Linked DNA regions of Stegostoma tigrinum. The protein of the gene in region 1 purifies or fractionates together with the protein of each later gene. This does not show direct contact. Links are inferred from orthologs where the notes say so. Each region holds a gene or a part of one and is shown in the gene's direction. Other genes may lie near its edges.

Evidence for each region. Proteins that work in one complex are often made in the same cells at the same time.
Region 2: the proteins of zzz3 (region 1) and tada2a purify together in Homo sapiens (affinity purification with mass spectrometry; 4 studies listed by BioGRID and IntAct, with this or other methods). This does not show direct contact. The link is inferred for Stegostoma tigrinum from reciprocal best matches to the Homo sapiens genes ZZZ3 and TADA2A.
Region 3: the proteins of zzz3 (region 1) and tada3l purify together in Homo sapiens (affinity purification with mass spectrometry; 4 studies listed by BioGRID and IntAct, counting the BioPlex papers as one, with this or other methods). This does not show direct contact. The link is inferred for Stegostoma tigrinum from reciprocal best matches to the Homo sapiens genes ZZZ3 and TADA3.

The regions. Positions count from the first base shown.
Region 1 is NC_081361.1:92,318,921-92,326,134, reverse strand, and holds the start of zzz3 (ZZ-type zinc finger-containing protein 3), read left to right. Parts: upstream 1-4,205; 5' UTR 4,206-4,395; intron 4,396-6,130; exon of another isoform or gene 6,131-6,345; intron 6,346-7,214.
Region 2 is NC_081380.1:33,512,447-33,520,227, forward strand, and holds the start of tada2a (transcriptional adapter 2-alpha), read left to right. Parts: upstream 1-4,758; 5' UTR 4,759-4,934; coding exon 4,935-4,959; intron 4,960-7,597; coding exon 7,598-7,704; intron 7,705-7,781. UniProt on the Homo sapiens protein: Component of the ATAC complex, a complex with histone acetyltransferase activity on histones H3 and H4. Required for the function of some acidic activation domains, which activate transcription from a distant site. Binds double-stranded DNA.
Region 3 is NC_081364.1:18,563,703-18,570,579, forward strand, and holds the start of tada3l (transcriptional adapter 3), read left to right. Parts: upstream 1-3,854; 5' UTR 3,855-3,870; coding exon 3,871-3,898; intron 3,899-3,908; exon of another isoform or gene 3,909-4,221; intron 4,222-6,414; coding exon 6,415-6,650; intron 6,651-6,877. Other genes in the region: uncharacterized protein LOC125460488, read right to left, coding at 163-278, 3,338-3,340. UniProt on the Homo sapiens protein: Functions as a component of the PCAF complex. The PCAF complex is capable of efficiently acetylating histones in a nucleosomal context. The PCAF complex could be considered as the human version of the yeast SAGA complex.

The DNA.
Region 1 (7,214 bases):
GAACTTAGGGGGTTTGAGTCCAACTTTCTTTTCCCCTGCCACAGTCCCACTCCAGGCTTTCCAGCCCTCGCCGTGCCCCCGCATTCCACTCCAGGCTGCCTCACTGGCCCGCTCTCACCGGATCGCTCTCGATCCGCCATTGCTGCGGGACACAGCCCGTGCATTCAGCTCCCGCCATGAGGTGCCCAGTCACCTTTCAACTCCTACGGTAGGTAGTTAAAAGGGGCAGGGGTGTATACTACAGAGGGAGGGAGAAGAAGCGAGAGCCAAAAAAAGGATGGTCAAGGAAAGAAAGAGAGAGAACTGGCGAGCAAAATGGAGCCACTTACTCTGCTGCCATCTTGCCACAAGCGAGACGAGCATTCTCAGCTCTGTCTTAATTGGTGACTTCTTACTCTGAGATGATGTCCACTGGTTTGAGACTCACCCATGATGGGAACCAACCTCTTCCACATCCACCCTGTCAAACCCGCTAAGTATCTTCCATGTTTCAATAAGGTTGCCTCCCATTCTTCTAATTATTATTGTTATTCTAGGTTCACCAGGTTGACACTGAGGGATGACAGGGCTATCTTTGTTTGACTATTTTTAAAGTTAGTTCACAAGATGAGGGTGTCGCTAGGTCAGCATTTATTGCCCATCCCTAGTTGTCTGGAGGGCAGTCAAGAGTTGACCACGTTGCTGTGGGTCTGGAGTCACTGGTAGGCCAGACCAGGTCAGGATGGCAGTTTGTGAATGCGATGGCTTTCCCCCACTCCCAACAATTTGTGGTCATTAGATTGTTCTCAACCTTAGCACCCATAACCCAAGCTACAAATCTCCTCCAAAACCTTAGAGGTCATTAGATTCTTAATTCCAGATTTTTGTTTAGTTATTAGATTCAAATTCCACGGCACTATTTCAACCTCGGTTTCCAGACTATTACCTGTGTCTCTGAATTAACAAACCAGCAATAATACCACTAGGCCATTGCCTCCTGACTGTGAGATTATAACCTCTGGTCTGGGATATTCCTTTATTCACTAGAGTTTAGGAGAATGAGAAGGTTGGGGAGTCTAGAACCAGGGTTCATTGTCTCAGGACGTGGTGCAGGCCATTTAGGATGGACATAAAGATTTCTTCTTTCAAAGACTCATGAACCAATGCAATTCTCTACCACAGAAGGCGCTGGAGGCTACAACATCGAATATATTCAAGATAGGTAGATAGAGTTTTGAGATTTTAAGAGCATCCCAGGGTATTGGGATGAAGAGGCAATATGGCATTGAGATAGACGGTCAGCTATAATCACGTTGAATTGCAGAGCAATTTCATAGCACCAAATGTCCTACTCCTGCTCCAATTTTTGACATAAACTCCAGTGAGTATGAGCCCCACTAAAACATAGAAATTATGTTACCAATGAGGTAGTCACAGCGTTTTATCCTTGGGCCACAACTATTTACAACCTATATTAATGACTTGAATGTAAGAGATCTGGCTGTAATAGCAAGTAATAATGGAACTCTAACATTTATTGCTAACGATAAGGGATAAGAGTAGGAAGTGATATTGAAACTGTACGAAGCATTAGTGAGACCACATCTAAAGTACTGCATACGATTTTGGTTCCCTTATCTGAGGAGCATTTCGAGTCCATTGACCCTCCTTCAGACCTGATAGTAGCTAGAATGAGGTTTATATATGCTGAAGGTGGGGTGAGAGGAGAAAGAGTTAAATGATAGGTGGAGATGGTGCCCAGATAGAAACTGTTGTGCAGACAAAGGAACGGGTATAGGTGAGCTGGAAAATCAACAGCAGCTAACAGGGACCACAGCTCCGCCATTAACCCTATAATCCCAATTTATCTCGAAACTTTGAGACCTAGGTGTTCACTCCACCTCCTGCAACTGGATCCTCAGCTTCCAGAGAAACATGGAAGATAGACAACAGAACCTCCTCCACAATAAGCCTCAACATTAGCAACCCTCAAGGATGTATACTCAGACCTCTTATGTATTCTCTGTACAGTCATGACTGTGTGGCCAAATTTCATATGATCACCATCTACAAGCTTGCTGGTGACATCACCATGGTAGGTCAGCTATCGAATGATGATGAGTCAGAATACAGAAAGGAGATAGAGGGCTTAGTTTCATGGTGCAATAACGATCTCTTTCTCAACGTCCACAAAACAAAAGAACTCATCATTGCCTTGAGGAGGAAAGGAGGAGGACATGCTCCTGTTTACATCAATGGAGCAGAGGTGGAGATGGTCGAGAGCATCAAGTTCCTAGGAGTGATGATCATCAACAATCTGTCCTGGACCTCCTATGTAAATATGATGGTCAAGAAGACACGACAACACCTCTTCTTCCTCAGGCTTAGAAATTCAGCTTGTCCATAGGGACCTTGACCAACTTCTACAGATGCACCCTAGTGAGAATTCTAATGACTTGGTACGAAAACCGTAGTAAGAAACTACAGAAAGTTGTGTACACAGCCCAGACCGTCATGAAAGCCAACCTCCCATGTGGGCCCCATCTACACTTCTTGTTAGAATCATAGAATCATGGAGTCCCTGCAGTGTGGAAACAGGCCATTAGGCCCAACAAGTCCACCCAGACCTATCATCTACCCCTTCCATGTAACCCTACATTTCCCATAGCTAATCTGCCTAATTTACTCATCCTTGGATACTACGGGAAACTTATCATAGCCAATCCACCTAACCCGCACATCTTTTGACTGTGGGAGGAAATCAGAGCACCCGGCAGAAACCCACACAGACATGGGAAGGAAGTGAAAAATTGAACCTGGGTCTCTGGCACTGTGAGACAGCAGTGCTAACCACTGAGCCACTGTGCTGTCCGAAAATCATTGAATCCCTCAGTGTGGAAGCAGGCCATTCTGATCATCAAGTTTATCATAACATTCCAAAAAGCACCCACCCAGTTCCATGCCCCTACCATATATACACCACATTTCTCATGGCCAATTCACCTAACTAGCACATCTTTGAACCATGGGAGGAAACACACACAGATAGTCACCCAAGGCTGGAATCAAAGCTGGGTTCCAGGCACATGGGGCAGAAGTGCTAACCACTGTGTCATTGTACCACATTGTTACTAAAGTGAGGCAGCCCACATCATGAAAGACCCCTCCCACCCAGGTTCTAATCTCTTCCAACCTCTACCATCAGGCAGAAGAAACAGAAGCTTAGACTCGAGTAGTAACAAGTTCAAGAACAACTTTTTCCTTTGCTGTTATCAGACTGATGAATGGACCTCTCTAATTTCACATCCAATGTTGATCAGAGGGTCACCAGACCCCAAACGTTAACTCTGATTTATTCTTCACAGATACTGCCAGACCTGCTGAGTTTTTCCAGCAACTTCTGTTTTTGTTCCTCCTCCCTTCTGTGCGGCTGTAAAGTTGTATGCCTCACTTTGTCTAAGCACCCTATTGTCTGTTTGTCCTTGAATGTTATCATCTGTTTTGTACCAGTCGCAAAAAAAGACTTTTCACTGTGGTAGCAGCCCAAATGGTGACAAGGCCTAGTGCGTGGGGCTTTGGGTAAGGACTCATCTCACCTGACATATTAACCCTGCCTTCTCTCCACAGATGCTGCCAGACCTGTTGAGTTTTTATGAAAGTACTGCAAGAAGGTTGTGAGACCGCAAATGATTAATTCTGCCTTCTCTCCTCAGATGCTGCCAGACCTGCTGAGTTTTTCCTTATTAATTTCCTTACTAGGAATAACGAAATCGCTGGAAGAAAACTCGTGTTGTGTCTGGCAGCATCTGAGGGGAGAAATTTCGAGCATCTAGAGTTCTTAGGGCTTATTATTCTCCAAATCAATTAATTTTGCTCAAGCATCCATTCTGGCGCCGGCTGGACTCGAACCCGCGAGCTTCGGGCTCGGGGGCAGGAACGCTGTCAGTGCGCCACAAGTGGTGCGTGTGCGTATCGCCGCGCGGAGAGACGGGGTGTTGTTTGCGCTGGGCCCTCGCCTCCTCATTCCGTCACCACCGCCGCACGTCCCAAAAACCCCCAGTGGATTCTGGGAGGCCGGCTGCAGCCGGGGCAAAGATGGCGGCCGAGGGCGCTGCGCATCCTTGCGGAAGTGAGGTAAGTGAGAGTGTGGCGGGGGGGGGGGAGGTGGGTAGAGGCGGGTGGAAGGTGGGGGGAGGGGAAGGCCTCACCCCACCCTCCCCCCCCCCCCTTCCCATGGCCGCCGCCACCGCCGCTACCAGCAGCGAGCCGAGAGAAAGGGAAGAAGTGGCTGTGGGATCATGTGAGACCGAAAAATGGGATCCAAAGCAGGAGAGAGTGGACGAACCAGCCGAGGAAATGGTGGCGGATTCCGCAGCGGTAACCACAGAGCCCGAGGCGCCGGTATCGGGGAAAAGAGTGAGTCTCGCCTTTAAAGGCGGAGTGGGGAGGGGGGGGCGGTGGGTGTCAAGAGCGGCCCGCGTAGTGCGCGGGCGGGCTCCTCCTCCTCCTCCTCCTCCGTTTTAATCACCACCCATCCGCCCTGGGAAAAGCCGCTCGGTCGGTCGGGAAACATACCAAAGCACGAGGGAGGAAAAAAAACGCGGTGTTTCGTTTCGCCGCCGCCCGCGCGGGAGAGCCGCACGGTCGGTCAAGAAACGTTAAACAAAAACCCTGTCAATTTTGTTTAGCCGCCTCCGCCCGCAACGGGGGTTCGGAGGTGAATGGATTATATAATAAATTATTTGTAAATACTCGATTGCTCATCCTTATGCCCTGCTCAAAGCAGCAACTTACGTTCGCCATCCCGATCGTAAACATGGTGCAGGCTGCGAGCTGAGCCGAAAGTGTTTTATTTTATGTTTATTCATTGGAATTGTTGCTAATTAGCCTACACAAGCTCCCCCTTCATTTTTATATATTTTTTTCCTGACATCGACTGTTTCCTTTCCTCTCAGCTGTGTTTCTTTTGTTACTGTCCACCCCGCCACCCCACCTCCTGAGGCCGACGGTGTAAAGCCTGAGGTCGGCCACTGTTGTTAGGCGAGGCCGGGGATCGCCTCAAGGCTCCGTGAGGCCTACCTCCCTCTCCCTCTGAGGTTGTGTGGTGTGGGGTGTGGATGGTGTTGTCCGGAACAAGGCACCGACAATGTTCGTCGGTTTCCCATCCCACTCTCCGACCCTTTCAGTAAACTTTTTCTTCTCCCTCTCCAAGTGGGCTTTTCGTTTCTTTGTCCTGGGATCACTTTTACCATCATTTCCTCAACAGGTTTCCCTTCTCTCTCTCTCTCTCTCTCTCCCTCATCCTTCAGGGTAAATTAGAGGTTCCCCAGATACTGGAACATGTTCCTTTGTTATTTACTGAGACTCGCACACTTAAAATTTCTCCTGTCAGTGGCATGCCAGTTCTTATTTTATTTATCTCAGCAAGCTGCCCTTTTACAACTGATTTCACATATGTTTCAATTCACACGTGTGCATATGTCTGAATTAATGTGTTTATAATCTTTGTGTGATTTGTATTATAACTGACAATATACTGATCATAGATGAAGTCACTTGCATTCATGTTGAACACAACGTACTGACACATTACAATTTGAATGTTTGTATATCTATAATGAGATAGAGAACTGACAAAATTATGAATGCACGTAGTCATGCTATAATCTGTAATGTATATTATAACATACTGACAACCCGTAGATATGAATGCACGTGTTCATGTTATGAGATATATAACAGTATACTGACAGATTATAAATACACATGTATTCATGCTGTAATCTGTGTAATGTAAATTGTAACATATACTGACAGACTATAGATAGAAATGCACGCGTTCATGTTGTAATGAGATATATAACGGACTGTGTACTGACAGTATTGTGAATTCATGCTGTTATCTGTGTGATGTATATTATAACACGATGTACTGACAGACTATAGATAAATACACTTGCATTGGTGCCGAGTTTGTGTGCGTTAATGAAGTATACGTGAAATGTGTGTGGAACTTCCCTTTTACTCGCAGTACCCAGCTGCTGCATTAATTTTCCTTGCAGTAGATGGAGTGACCAGTGAGACTCGCTGCTCTGCTTTGTGTGCACTTTGTGGTGAAGTAACCCGTTTTTATTTGGTCATAAATATGCGGAACACGTGTGCTTTAGTGCAGGTTCAGCAAATACAGCTCCTACTCCTTTCGAAGGTTATGTTTGTATTTGGATTTATTTTTAAAAAAGAAAACTCTGGCACTTTGTATTTTTCTTGGTGTTTCTCTTTCTGTGTGTGGAGCGGGGTTGGATTGTCCCTGATCACGGCTTTGACTCAGTCCTCCTTCGCACATGTTGGGAGGTTGGTCATTTTGAGGTCAGTTTGGAATCGGAAACGTCTCTAAAACAGTCGGTTTTTTTGTCTCCTGCGGCAGGTGGAAGTTAACACGTGTCTGGACGAGGCGTTCGACTGGGCCATGTGTTCACTAGCGTCTTAAAAAATGCCGAGTAGGATAATCAAATCACGATTTTTTGTTGTTGTTTGCATTATGAGAGTGAAGGTTGGCACGGATTTAATTCTGTATGTAACTTCACCTTCAGTACTTAAGCTACACTGTCTCTTCTTGTTCACCACTTAATTTTTCGGGCTGATACATTATGTATCCACATTAATGCTGCAGGTAACCAGCTGAGTGATCGTTTTTTGTTCCTGCTGCTTCGATTAATATTCTTCTGTTCCTGTCTCTTATAAATGTTTCTCTCCAAACTAAAGCCTTGGCCTAACTCTGCCAGTTGGTTGTACACAGATTGGGGCTGTTATTTTGGTGTTTTCCGTAACTGGAAGTTCGAGCAAAGTACTGTTAGTACTGTTTCCTCATCAGCCAATATTTTTTAAACGAGAAATTCCGGATCTGTTAGACGCAAGATCTTGTAATCCAAAAACGGTAATTTATGGCATTGTGTACTCAAGTTATATACATGACCCCTGGGTTTCTCAGCACCTCTCCTTTTGCAACCAGGGATTTTCGCGATTTGTTCTTATCCTCATGGAAACTCATGAGAACTTTGTAGTGGAATTGTCTTTGTGGTAACTGAATTTGAATGAGTTTTATTCTACAGTTCAAGCCTAGTTAAACTGATTAGAAGAGGAACATATAGGGAAAATAAACAAAGGTGGCTTTGTAATTTTCTGAAATGAAAGGAGTGCGGATTGGTATTTCAGACATGAAACATTCTCTGCTAGTT
Region 2 (7,781 bases), on another chromosome or scaffold:
CCGCCATCTACAATCCGATCCCACCAGCCAAGCCATTTTTCCATCCCCACTCTTGTCTGCCTTCCGGAGAGACCACTCTCTCCGCGACTCCCTTGCCCGCACAACACTCCCCTCCAACCCCATCACACCTGGCGCCTTCCCCTGCAACCGCAGGAAATGCTACACTTGCCCCCACACCTCCTCGCTCACCCCTATCCCAGGCCCCAAGATGACCTTCCATATCAAGCAGATGTTCACCTGCACATCTGCCAATGTGGCATACTGTATCCATTGTACCCGGTGTGGCATCCTCTACTTCGGGGAAACCAAGCGGAGGCTTGGGGACCGCTTTGCAGAACACCTCCGCTCAGTTCGCAACAAACAACTGCACCTCCCAGTCGCGAACCATTTTACCTCCCCCTCCCATTTCTCAGACGACATGTCCATCATGGACCTCCTGCAGTGCCACAATGATGCCACCCAAAAGTTGCAAGAACAACAACTCATATTCCGCTTGGGAACCCTGCAGCCCAATGGTATCAATGTGGACTTCACAAGCTTCAAAATCTCCCCTTCCCCCACGGCATCCCAAAACCAGCCCAGTTCGTCCCCTCCCCCATTGCATCACACAACTAGCCCAGCTCGTCCCCTGCCCCCACTGCATTCCAAAACCAGCCCAGCCTGTCTCTGCCTTCCTAACCTTCCTCTCACCCATCCCCTCCTCCCACCTCAAGCTGCACCTCCATTTCCTACCTACCACCTCATCCTGCCTCTTTGATCTGTCCGTCTTCCCTGGACTGACCTTCCCCTCCCTATCTCCCCTCCTATACTCTCCTCTCCACCTATCTTCTCTCCATCTTCGGTCCGCCTCCCCCTCTCTCCCTATTTATTCCAGAATCCTCACCCCATCCCCCTCTCTGATGAAGGGTCTAGGCCCAAAACGTCAGCTTTTGTGCTCCTGAGATGCTGCTTGGCCTGCTGTGTTCATCCAGCTTCACACTTAGTTATCTTGGATTCTCCAGCATCTGCAGTTCCCATTATCTCTCCCCAAGAGAAATATTTGCCTCTTTGTCCACTGTGCAATCCCATTCCTCCATATGCCAAGTGACCAAAAAAAGTACATGACACAAATTTACAAATAAATCACATCATGCATTGCAACATTTTTGTACCTCTGTCCACGAACTCTGACTTATTGCTGGCACTTGTGCTGATTTCCTCAAAATTCAGAGAATTGAGTACAATAAAGACTGACGCTTCAGTGCAGACTTTTGAAAATATTGACTAAGACTTTGGAGCAGCAACAGAGTAAGACCATAAGACATAGGAGTGGAAGTAAGGCCATTCAGCCCATCGCATCCACTGCGCCATTGGCTGATGGGCATTTCAACTCCACTTCCCTGCACTCTCCCCGTAGCCCTTGATTCCTTGTGAGATCAAGAATTTATCAATCTCTGCCTTGAAGACATTTAACATCCCGGCCTCCACTGCGCTCTGTGGCAATGAATTCCACAGGCCCACCACTCTCTGGCTGAAGAAATGTCTAAGGATGCTGAAGGGCAACTACGGATGGGCAAGAAATGCTGGCCAGCCAGTGACGTCCACATCCACACAACAAAATGAATTTTTTAAAATGCTCAATTGCTGAGAAATCCTGTAATGTCTCTGATGAAAATTTCAGCTCCAGTTCCATTCAGTAGTGCAGCAACTGATTCAGCAATCTTTACTGGGCATGAACAACTTGAAGCAGCAGTGAAGTCATCAGATGATCTAAACGCCTGAAATAATTAAATTATTTTCACAAATAATCTCATCCCTTAAATCAGAAACACAAAGCACTGAAATAAAAGGTTTTAGAGCAAATTACATAGCGGCGCATATATGTGCAGTGAGGATAGAAGATAAAACATTCCAAATAAAATCTTTAATATTAAGCTTTAGAAAAGTATTTACTTTATCAGTCCATGAATATAAAATTATTTTTTCTGAAATTCTGTACATCAAATTTTATTCATTTTTAAAAACTTAGATATGTCTGATTGAACAAGATGTAACTTTTTATAGACTTCTACTTAAGTCATTCTAAGCAGAACCTTGGAGGGGTTGGGGTGATGCAGTGTGTATGTCACAGCCCATGTTGGAGCTCTAAGAGACAGACTGTAATCCTCAGATATCCTCATTAATCACATATAATCGTTGACATTGCATCAGATGAGTATGAAAGTTGACTTTTCAGATTGGGACCCTTCTTCTGAGAAGCCATTTCTGAAGAAGGGTTCCGACCTGAAACGTCAACTTTCCTGCCCCTATGATGCTGCCTGGCCTGCTGTGTTCCTCCACCTCCACGCTGTGTTATCTTTGACTCCAGCATTTGCAGTTCTTGCGAGCTCTAACCTTGAGATTGCATCTGTTTCGGAGGGATAATCATTGCATAAAGCTCTGAAAGGGTTTATATGGAATGCCCTAACCACCATCCATTATGATGTCAAATGGCCTGGCAGGAAGAATGGGATCTCAAAACCTAATATCCAGAACAGAGGGTGTATTTATCATCAAAGTAACTTGTACTTAGTTGCTAATGTAAATAACTAGTACTTATTTAATATAAGAGCCTGTTTTAGTAAGACCAGTAAATTGTTTCTTCTACCACAGTTGACCAAACAGGCTCTGGAGGTCCCTTGGAGAATGGTAGCACTAAATATGCCAGATGGAAGTGTAGACTTTGTTTGAGTGTACAAGCGACAAACTCTTAATTCCATATTAGTTGTATGTGCAACTTAGGAGCATTGATGTATTGGACCCTATAAATAGCCACATGAAGAATGGTTGTGTTTGTATACTTGAAATGTGTAAAATAAACAAATATAAATGTGTTTAAGGATTGGCTTCTAGGTATTTTTTAATCAGCCTGCTCAAGGATGTTTGATGGCACATCTCTGGAGTAGATGGGACTTGAACTCGTGGTTAAGAGTTAGGGGACAATGCCATTGCACCATAAGTACCCTCTTGGCTTGAGTTCTATGCTACAGTACATGGCTTTCTGGAGGAGGAGAGCTGTTTAGCATTTATCCCACCAGCATAATTCAAATTGTGGTTGGTTAATTTGCAGGTTCTTGCTAAGACCAGCCAGCATTCAAAAGTACTTGAGGTACTTCTCTCAGTCAATTAATTTCTGAGGTCATGAAAAATGCAATAACTGCAAACATTTTGCAGAATCCATTGATAGCTTGAGTTGTCAGGTACAATGCAGTCCACTCATATCTGGGTATGAATCAGTACACATGTGCTCTTAAATTGCAATACGCAGGTGGTGAAAGGTGAATTTGTGATCACTTGTGAACACTAAACTAATTTTAAATTCTGTCCAGACCCTTGGAAACTGGAAGCAAGATGGCAGCATTAACTGGAGCTCATCTGCTCCAACCACTTTCCTTCTTTCTTTTTTTCGTCTGTCTTACTTTTGTTTGCTTCCGATACCCTTACTTTACTATTGTCCTGAGCTTGGATGGCAGCAGCAGCAGCAGCGAAAGCCCAACACAGACCTCAAGTGGGCCCTTTTCCAGGTTGAGCACAGGAGTTGGCATTTCAATCGGCAGCTGCTACGCCAGTGAAGGAAACGTTGGTGAGGTAGGCCCCTGGGCGAAAGATTGCACCTGAGGATAAGCAACTTAATCATTGGCTGGGTCCTGTGCTGGCAGCAGCAAAGTGGTGGTGGAAGGGCATCACAGCAACACCAGCAAGATGGGCCCAGTGGTGGACGATGTGACTCGGACATTGTTTGATCTGGTGCAGGCTGCAGCGAGGTGCGCTGGAGAATTTCCCCAGCAGCAAAAACTAGCACCCGAGGCTCAGCGATTAAGATGTCGAGATAATAAAATGTGAGGCTGGACGAACACAGCAGGCCAAGCAGCATCTCAGGAGCACAAAAGCTGACGTTTCGGGCCTAGACCCTTCATCAGAGAGGGGGATGGGGGGAGGGAACTGGTTAAGATGTCGGTTGGGTCCGGAACAGATGGCAGCAAAAGCAGTGTGGGGGCAGGGGGATGGCGGCACAGGTGTCGATGATGGTCATAAACTGGCTCAGGTCTGATTGACGTAACACACTGTGAAGCTGGAGGAACACAGCAGGTCAGGCAGCATCAGAGGAGCAGGAAAGTTGACGTTTCGGGTCGGCAACCCCTTCAGAAATCTGAATTTCAGACCTCAATGCCTTGTCTGACTCCAGCATCGGCAGTTCTTACTATGTCTCAGGACTGAGGGACTCCCTTTAATCTATATAAAAACCAAAAGAACTGCAGATGCTGTAAATCTGGAACAAAAACAGAAGTTACTGGAAATAATCAGCAGGTCTGGCTGCATCTATGGAGGAAAAAAAAATCAGCACTGAGGAAGGGCCACCAACCCTAAATGTTAACTCTTGATTTGTTTTTTCTGCACAGATGCTGCCAGACCTGCTGAGCTTTTCCAGCAACTTGTGTTTTTGTTCCTTTCAGCTATATCTTTCTCTCCTTATTCTTAAATTATTCAAAATGGCGCCAGATCGTGGCGAAAAGTGAAAGCTTTTCACTGTGTATTTTACTGTATTCTTACTGTAAAATACACATGGCAATAAACTCATTCATACAATGTCAGTGGGAGAGGGCCACCAGTACACAGCCAGTATTGGAGCAGTAAAGCGAGCAGGGGGCGGGATTGCGTGCGAACGCTGACATTGGATTGGTGGGGGCCGCTGTCAATCCTACTGAGTGACGGCGGAGGCCATCTTGCGGGCGGGCCGTTGGAGTGAGTTGGGGAGTAAAATGGCGGCAGGCGGACAGCGAGCGGGGCGCTGGGGAGAAGCAGCAGTCTTTTAGCCAAAGACAAAAACAGTCGTCGGTGCTGGGTCGTCACCGCGGTTTAGTTCAGACTGACAAATTTTGTTTCCGTTTTCGTTCGTCGGCGTCATTTTGTGAAGCATGGATCGGCTGGCACCCTTCGGCAGTGAGTAGCCCCCCCGCCCTGTGTCTCACCCTCGGGGGATGGAGGGGGTGTGGATGGCTGATAACCAGAGGATCGGTGCTTTCCTCGGGCCTGTAGCTGCAGCCTTAACCACGAGCCGGCAATTGAATTAGACTCGCGTTTGGGCGAGAAATTTGCTTCTCAATAAAAGCTCCTCTTCCAAGCTCTTCTTTCAACACCCACAACCACCAAACACCTAATGCTAAAAGAAAATCCAGATGTCTTTGCCTAAAATAAATGTGTGGCCACAGTGATGTGCCGTGCTTTTTATTGTATGGATCACTGTTTCGGAGCCGACTTCTCCTCCCACCAGGTCACCTTTCTTTTCTAAACCAAAACACAGCGCCCTAAGAGCTCAGACTCGCAGATAAACTGTACCAACCCAACCCTTTTCAGACTGAATTTAATTGCTCGCTCCAACTCACTTATCTGTGTGTCTCAAACCGGGGTTAAAGTCAGTGGAGCATTTGTGTTTAGTACGGTGAATATGCCACGTGTGTTGTGCATTTAGCTCTCCCTCGCTTCTGATGGCCGCAGAGCGAAGTGCAGGCAAGCTGTGTGACCTGAGCTGTAACAGACCCACTCAAGGTTGGTTCACGTTAACTGAGAGAAGTAAATTGAGCTGCTCGTCGAGAAGCATCATCCATCGTTTGAATTGCTGGCCTTTGTAAACTTTTCATTTTGCCCTTACCTTTGGTGTCCGTAGTATTTCAACAGCACCCCAAAACAAATCGTTAAGTCTTAGAAGTGCAAAATACACTGAAAATGATCAACAAGTCAGCCCATCACTGTGATAAGAAAAAAGTTTATGCATTTCTTTAGACCTTTAGTGAGTACAGGATGTATCAAAGTTTCTTGTGGATGCAAACATCCAGTCACTAAAACTTCCTACCTTACTCTGTGTGTATGTTTACTTATGTCTGTGTGCAATTTTGTGTAAGTCTTATTGTGAAATAAAACTACTGAAACACAAAAGCAGGAAAAAGCTGCAGAGACAGACCAGTAAATGCATGGAAGGAGGTTAATATTGTTTCTGGTAATTCTGTTTTATATTTCAGTATTTTGCCTCCTTGAAAGACTGCCAGGGAAAGCAGTCCAATTCTTAACAATTTCCTTAACTCACCAAAGTAAAATCTAGATGTAAAAGCACGTTTATCTAGCAGTTTCCTATTATGCCACCAGAGCACCACTCAAACTTTACAACTGGGAAAACATGTATTACACCAGGGTGGGCTGCTGAGGCATTAAAAGATCGCATGAAAGGGGAAAGGAAATAAAAACAGTTGCTGCAAACTGATATCTTGTCCTGTTGTATTTCTTCTCCCCTTCCACCATGCCACGTCTATCCAGTCAAAAAAAATGTTGCTTCTAATTTTTATCAAATTAGGGGCAATTTTATATTCAGATTTTCTCCATTTCCTCCTAGAATTAATGTGAAAATATTTCAAAACCTTCTAAAGACCAACGCTGCATATGTCCAAAGAACCTTTTGAAAGTCACGTTCTTTACCTCTAGGTTTTTAAACAGGATTTTCCCTTATTCCCCATAGTTTCATGCAAAACAAATTAGATCATGGAGTACTTCACATATGCCGTGCGCAAAAGCAAAATTCTGCTAACATCAGTAATCTGAAATTAATAATGTGCTGGAAATTCTCAGCAGGTTAGGCCGCATCTGTGGTCATTGAAATAGTGCTACAGGTCTCTGATGTTTCATGAGAACTGGAAAAAAGTTACAAATCTTACAGGGATTTAAGCAAGTACATTGATCATGAAGGAGATTACAATGAAAGGGAAGTTCTTATAGTGTGGAATACAGGAGTGCTAAAATGATTGATCTTTTGGCATTTAATTATTCTTGTCTTCTGCCCAATTAACAGTTTTTTTTCTGTTCTTTACCTTTCCCCAATTTTCCCACCCCTCTACTTTCTGGCTTGTTGCATCTGTAACGTTTTCCATTTTTGTTGACAGATAATCAAACTAAAATTTTAATTCTCTTTCTTACCAACCTACCTGTCCTGCTGAGTATTTCTGGCATTTTCTTTTCCAAGTCACACACTTGTCTGTAATGACCCATTTCCTGATCAGAAACTCTACATAGGGAGCAAAAATAGTTGTATTAATAAAGTATATGCATATAATAGTGTTATTACTAATCCAGTTTTCATGTTTCTCAATTTTTAAAAATCACTTTTAACGCAAAGCTCATGTATCTGATCTTTCATTGATGCTTTGAAATTATTTTATTTAAACTGTTGTTACCATTGCTGCATTGCTTGTAGTTGCCAGTACTGCAACCTAGTGTTATACAGCTAAAAGTGTTTTTTTTCAGAGACAAATCAAAGCTTGAAAAGCTAATATCCTTATACAGGCTGCTGTCTGGTTTTCTCATGGTTGGTATAGCAATCTCATGTTCACATTGAGAATTACATAAAATATATGAGAAGTGGTTTCTAGGTGGTTGTTGGAATGGCCCTGATGATTGCATTAAAATGTAACAGTTCCTCTGTTACAGATACCACAAGGTAATTTGTTGTATGAATATTTACTGTAACATTAAATCTATGCATACTATTTGGAGATATCACTTGCTGAATTGCCTTGATCTGACTTTATTTCAGGTGACCCCTTTGATCAACCACCATGTCGTGGATGTTCCTCTTATCTAATGGAACCCTACATAAAGTGTGCAGACTGTGGACCTCCTCCACTACTTATATGTTTACAGGTACACTACCATTATTTGAGCTTATAAGAGATTGAAGTTAATACATTTGTCTTCCATTCTTACATTTCATACCCCAC
Region 3 (6,877 bases), on another chromosome or scaffold:
TCAAAGTTAAATTATATACAGATTATATGCTTGGAGTTGTATTTGTTATCCCAAGAAACAGAAAATTGTACTGAACTTTCTTGCATCTTCCCCCACCCCACCACAAATGGTGCTTAAATACTGAAAACTAACCAAAATATTAACCCAGCAAGTGTGCCCTACCTCACTTCCACTTCAGGTTTATTATGGCGTTCCACAACTTGTGATGAGAAGTTTTCGAGGCAGAGTGCAGCTTGAAGTGTGGCACGGACTGCATTCAGGTATGGACGGAGCGTCGCCTATCAAGTGATAAACAAAGTTAAAGTAATAAAGCTTAGAAGACCCTTTAGGCAATTACACCATTAAGGGACATTAATGTTGGAAAGATCCCATTTAAATCTGTAAATTCAAATCTCATTATAAAAGATTTTTGTTCAGACAAATGTAGTGACATGAATGGAACAGTGGACCAGATTATCTCATGATCTCCCTTTAATTAACAGGCAGTGACTACTTGTTGCGAACAAAAACAAAATTAAGTAAACCAAATAAGTCAACAATACCAGACAGCCGGTTAATCACATTTAAAACGTGAGAATGAATAATAGCGGTTTGATTAGCTCTAGTTAATCTACAGCAACAGTCCATTTTTAAAAACTATGCTCAGGTCACACCCACTCCATTTTAGACTCAAAACACTGACCAGCAAGGCAGTTAATGCATGTATGGTTGTATATGCTGAACAACATGGGAGAAAACAAAGTAATTTGAATCTTAATACCATCTGTTGACCATATAGGATTTTAACTTAGAGTCATAGAAATGCACAGCACAAAGACCCTTCTGTTCAACTTGTCCATGCCAGATATCCTAAATAAATCTAGGCTCATTTGCCAGCATTTAGCCCATATCCCTCTAAACCCTTCCTATTCATATACCCATTCAGATGCCTTTTAAATGTTGTAATTGTACCAGCCTCCATTTCCTCTGGCTGTTCATTCCATACACGGACCATACTCCGGGTGAAAAAAACTTGCCCTTTAGGTCCCTTTTAAATCTTTCCCCTCACCTTAAATCTATGCTCTCTAGTTTCGGACTCCTTCACCTAGGAGAAAAGATCTTGTCTATTTACCCTATCAATGCCCCTCATGATTTCATAAACTTCTAAGGTTATTCTTCAATCTCCGATGCTCCAGGGAAAATAGCCCCAGCCCATTCAGCTTCTTCCTACAGCTGAAACTCTCCAACCCTAGCAACATTTTTGTAAATCTTTTTGAACCTCTTCAAATTTCATAACATCCTTCTGGTCTCCCTGCTGTCAGAACTGCAGTGTTCCAAAAGTGGCCTAACTAATATCCTGTACAGCCACCACATGACATCTCAACTCCTATACTTAATGGATCGATCAATAAAGGCAAACCTACCTTCTTCGCTATCCTATGATACCACTTTCAAGGAACTACCAACATGACTCCAAGGTCTCTTTGTTCAGCATCACCTCCCCAACCAGAACCTTGCCATTAAGTATATAAGTCATGCCCTGATGTGTCTTTCCAAAATGCAGCACCCTCTCATTTATCTAGATTAAACTCCATCTGCCACTCCTCAGCCCAATCGACCCAGCTGATCAAGTTCCCATTGTACTGAGGTAATCTTTGCTATCCACTACACCTCTAATTTTGATACCATCTGCAAACTAACAAATCTTATCTGTTCACATCCAAATCATTTATATAAACAATGAAATGCAACAGACCCGACACAGAACCTTGTGGCACACTGCTCGTCTCAGGCCTCCAGTCTTAAAAATAATCCTGCACCACCACTACCTGCCTTCTACCATCGAGCTAATTCAGTATCCAAAAAGCTAGCTCTCCCAGTATTCCATGTGACCCAACTTTACTAACCAGTCTACCTCTTTCCATAGTATCAGAGATAATGGGAACTGCAGATGCTGGAGAATTCCAAGATAATAAAATGTGAGGCTGGATGAACACAGCAGGCCAAGCAGCATCTCAGGAGCACAAAAGCCGACGTTTCGGGCCCAGACTCTTCATCAGAGATGAAGGGTCTGGGCCCGAAACATCGGCTTTTGTGCTCCTGAGATGCTGCTTGGCCTGCTGTGTTCATCCAGCCTCACATTTTATTACCTCTTTCCATTACTTCTTTAGAAACTCAATTAAGTTAGCAAGACATGATTTCCCATACTCAAAGCTATATTGACTACTCCTATCAGTCCTTGCTTTTCCAAAAACACGTAAATTCTGTCCTTCAGGATTCCCTCCAACAACTTACCCACCACTGATATCATGCTTACTCATCTATCGAAGTTTTCTTCCCCAAAGGCCATTAATAAAGTAATTTTTAATCAGCACATGAATTATTTCCATTTTCTTAGAAAAACCAAATTCAATGTATAACTAATTGTTATAATGAAATTTAAACAAACTTTATTTACCTTGCCGTGGCTTCTAGAATACTAAACTAGTAACCTAATCTGCTAGCAGACAAGTGAACTGTGGACTTCACATCGGAAACCTGGCTGACCACTCACCAGAAGTAACTTCACAGCTAGAACTTGAAATATAAGTTAACTCATCATTTTCACCTTGAATAGGATATTTTTGCCAACAGCAACATCGTGTTATACGAATAAAGTAATAACTGAAAAGTAACGAAAGGTCTGAGCCATCCATAACTGCTATTGTGAGCGCTCACAACCTCTTGAGGATTAAACATAAAATACAAGACTTTGCACCTATATACGGTCCTGTTAAAAGGAACAGCGTCAAACACTAAACCGCAAACAACCTTGAACAGGCACGCAGTCCCAGTGACAGCCGTAAGTTAGAATATGGAACAAGGCAACCTAGTGACAAGTACCCAGCCAAGAAATACTGACTGCAGTCAGGAATTAACAACCTGCCAGATATCAACGACTAGAAACAGGCACACAATCAATGCCCTCGCTTCCCCATCGCCACTGAGGAGGCTGCAGGGACGCGACAGGATCACAAATTCCTGACTCAACCAAAGGCATTCCAGATTGGAGGCAGAGGAAGAGTAACACGGTTGGACTGTTTGATATGGAGAGAGCGGTACACGAGCCGGCCCAGCCCGGATACCAGTCGGCTCAGCTCCGGCCCAGAGACAGGAAGCGTTGGGTGTGGAACTCTCCCCTGCCCTCGGGGGACGGGTGGGGCCTTGCTGCCGCTTGGAGCCGTTACTCCAGCTGACTCCGGAGGTGCCGATTATCTCCTCTCTCCCCCGCCCCACCCAACCCCGATCTGTTCACCTAGCCGGAGCGAGCCCTCCACCCCATTCAGGGACCCTCTCAGCCCTGACCCCCTCCTGTTACCATCGTCTCCCCGGAAGGCGGAAACGTCCCGGGCGCATGTGCAGCCGTACCTCTTCACACCCCGCCCCTGCCCGCTGCAGGATGTACCATGCTTCCAGGAGGGAGAGTAACAGCTCGCTCTAGTGCTCTGCCGTAGTTTTTGTCGTAGTTGCATCCACTTTCCATGTGCAGAAGTTGCACAAACTTTAGCAATCAATTAAAGCTTTGTTCCCTGTTTCTTACTCTTTAGGTGCTGCCAACATGATCATCGATTTTGAATTTCACTCCCCCCGCGTAGTATTTACTTTTCTCACGCTGGAATTGGTGAACTTTTGAGAATTACGTTGCAAAAAGTATGGATTTTATTTTCATGGTATTTATGTGAAGCTGTAAAATGAATAAAATTATATGTATGTCAAACGTTGTTGATCCAAAGAGCCGGCCTTGCCGCACCAGAAGCTCATAACAAACGTTGCTTTATATATTTCCCCCTCCTCTATCTATGGCATTGGTCTGGTCCAAAAGCACCGGAAAAGGATGTGGGCTGAACCACTATGACAAAGTGTAGGATGAGAATTAGGGGTGAGTGACGGTTAAAGATTGCACAACTTCGCAGAACGTGTATTTTTTTACATGGCGCTTTCGCTCTATTACTAATTAACCTAGCGAAGAGGCGAGAAGGACACGGCTGTTGCACGGGTGCCTGCGAGAAGGGTGGCCACTGTGTGTTGTACATCCCCTCGTTCTCCCTAGTAGTGGTAAAGTCGCAGATGGAGCCTGTTCCCAGGTAAAAGGTAACAAAGTCCTGTTGAAAATGTGAGGGAGCCGGCACATAGCAACAAATGTCTGTTACCTTAACTACCCACGGATTCTGTTCCTCATTGCACTGCAGCTTGAAATTACAGGTATTTTTGTGTCTTGGTTACTGGGCACTTGGACAGAAAAAGAGCTTTTATTTCACAATGTTGGAATCAGGTGGTTAAAGCAGGTCCATTGCTGACTACAGGATGAGGAAAAGGTGCATTAGCAGCTGCAATTGCAAACTGGGGTCTTGACACAAACTGATCTTGTATCACCACTAATGCCCTGGCCTTCCTGTGTCTAACAGTGCCTTACCTGTAAGTTAGGCAGGCAGGGAGTAGGACAGGGGAAATAGTTTCTTACTGCTGTCAGTAACAGCTGACAAACCTGAGATGACAGAAAATGAATACTGAATGTCATTTTATTCCATGATACAATTGTCTTCCAGCAACCGCATCATTGCTCTTTGTTGAATAGTGTAGTCTTGTTTCCAAATTTGTTTGCTTTACATCTAATGCACGATTTGATCCTATCGCCTGAAAAGTCTGCTTTTATGTGAACGATTAACACCTTTTACAGTCAATCTGCTTTTGGTTTGATGAGAGTTTCAGACGTTTAATTTGTTCTGCTAATTTTTGATCAATAGGTACTTCTGTGTGACGGAGTCAATGTCTTTTCACCTGTCTGACATCCAAGTCAAGAGCAATTGTTTAAAAGCTAACTGTAAGGATATAATGTGAAATAAATTGGCCAATCCCAATTTCATATGGCAAAAATACAAAATTGCAGTTGTTGATCAGAGTTCTCAAGCTGTGCATGTGAATTGAGAGTAGAACACTGTTAGAGTAAAGGAATCTTGGTTCTGTTATTGACTGTGCTGCTCTGAAACTGTAAATAGAGGTTTACATTACAAGTCTCCCATTATAAATAAAATGTGCTTCAGATTACATCCTTTACCCGGATGAGCACAAAAAGATCAAACAACAAAAATAGAAATAATTTTCTTGTTGGAGAGAATACAGAAGAGAATGTTTCTAGGAATAAGGAATTTCAGTTAGAAAATTTCGATTGAAGAAACTGGAACAGTTTTTTGAGAAGAGAAGACTGAGAGGAGATCTGACTGAAATATTCAAAGTCATTTGAGGTCTAGACAGAGTAAATAGGGAGAAATGTTTCCACCTGTGGAAGGATTGAGAATGAGAGGGCACAGGTATAAAATCATCAGTTTTTAAAAAAGTAAATGTGATAGGAGGAAGATGTTTTTCATACACTGTGTGGTTAAGGTCTAGAATGCACTTCCTGAGAGGATTTTGGAGAAGATTCAATTAAGGTAGTAAAAACAGAATTTGCTGGTTATCTGAAAAGGATGAATGTGCAGGGTTACAGAGAAAAAAACAGCAGAATGGCACTAGGTGAGATGCTCAGTTTGGAGAACTTGCTGGAAAAGCTTAGCAGGCCTGGCAGCTTCTGTGAAGAGAAATCAGCACTAATGTTTCAGGTCCGATGACCCTTCCTTAGAACTGGACCCGAAACATTAACTCTGAATTCACTTCACAGACGCTGCCAGACCTGCTGAGATTTTCCAGCAAATTCTGTTTTTGTTTCTGATTTACAGCACCCACAGTTATATCGGGTTTTTATTTGCTCAGTTTGGAGACCTGGCACAGACATCTGGGGCCAAATGGCTTTCTCCTACATGGTAACAATTCTGTGGCTCAATATAAAAGACATTTTACAGAAGATACATGAAGATGAAGTAATGGAATAGTTGGGCAGAGGCAATAAACAGAATAAACAGAGGGCAGCTGAATCTGCAAACCCTGGGAAACTGAGGCAAAATGAGGCAGATGTTTGGCTGAATAAAGGAAATTGGTAAAACTGGTTTAGCATTTATAATTTCAAGTGACTCATTGACTAGAAAACTCATCTGGAATAAATGACAAAATGCACAGCAAATAAATTGTTTCACTGGAATAAACAGAAAAAAATCGGTGGCATTTTGAAACATTTTTAATGGCCCTTCACACCACTGATGTTATCGCTTAGAAAAATCATGGCCTTGAGCCAAGGGATACTTGCTGACCCTCTGATTTTTCTGGGATGGCTTTGAAGAGCTTGTTTCAATTGCAGTACTTGCTTTTAAAATCTATTTGGAACCTATGAGTCTGTTGGTCGACTAGAGAAGCCCTTCACAACCTTCATTTCTTGCATGTGTATAGTTAACCTTCCATTTGCTATATCACTTATTAATCAGAACTACCAATGTTCAATTTGAATTGTTTTTTATTTCTTTACAGATCTTAGACAAACTTTCCACGTGCTCAAGATGAGTGAACTAAAAGACTGCCCGCTGCAGTTCCATGACTTTAAGCCAGTAGATCACGTGAAGATGTGTCCCCGCTATGCAGCTGTGCTGTCGCGCTCTGAGGATGATGGAATCGGAATCGAAGAACTGGATACATTACAGCTGGAGCTGGAAACTCTCTTGAGCTCAGCAAGTCGGCGGTTGCGAATTCTAGAGGCAGAAACACAGGTAGGAATGTTGCATTAAACTGTTAGTTGCATTGAACAGAATGCTAACTGACCAGAATTCGTCTGATGGAGGAATTGTAAAGGAAATAAATCACCAGTGGGAGTGATGTACTGCATGCCTCCCCCACCAAAAAAAATGATATAGAACAAAATATACAAGAGGAAATATTGGGAGTTTCTAAAAAGTGGACAATAATTGAGTAATTTTAATCTACATATAAACTGGAA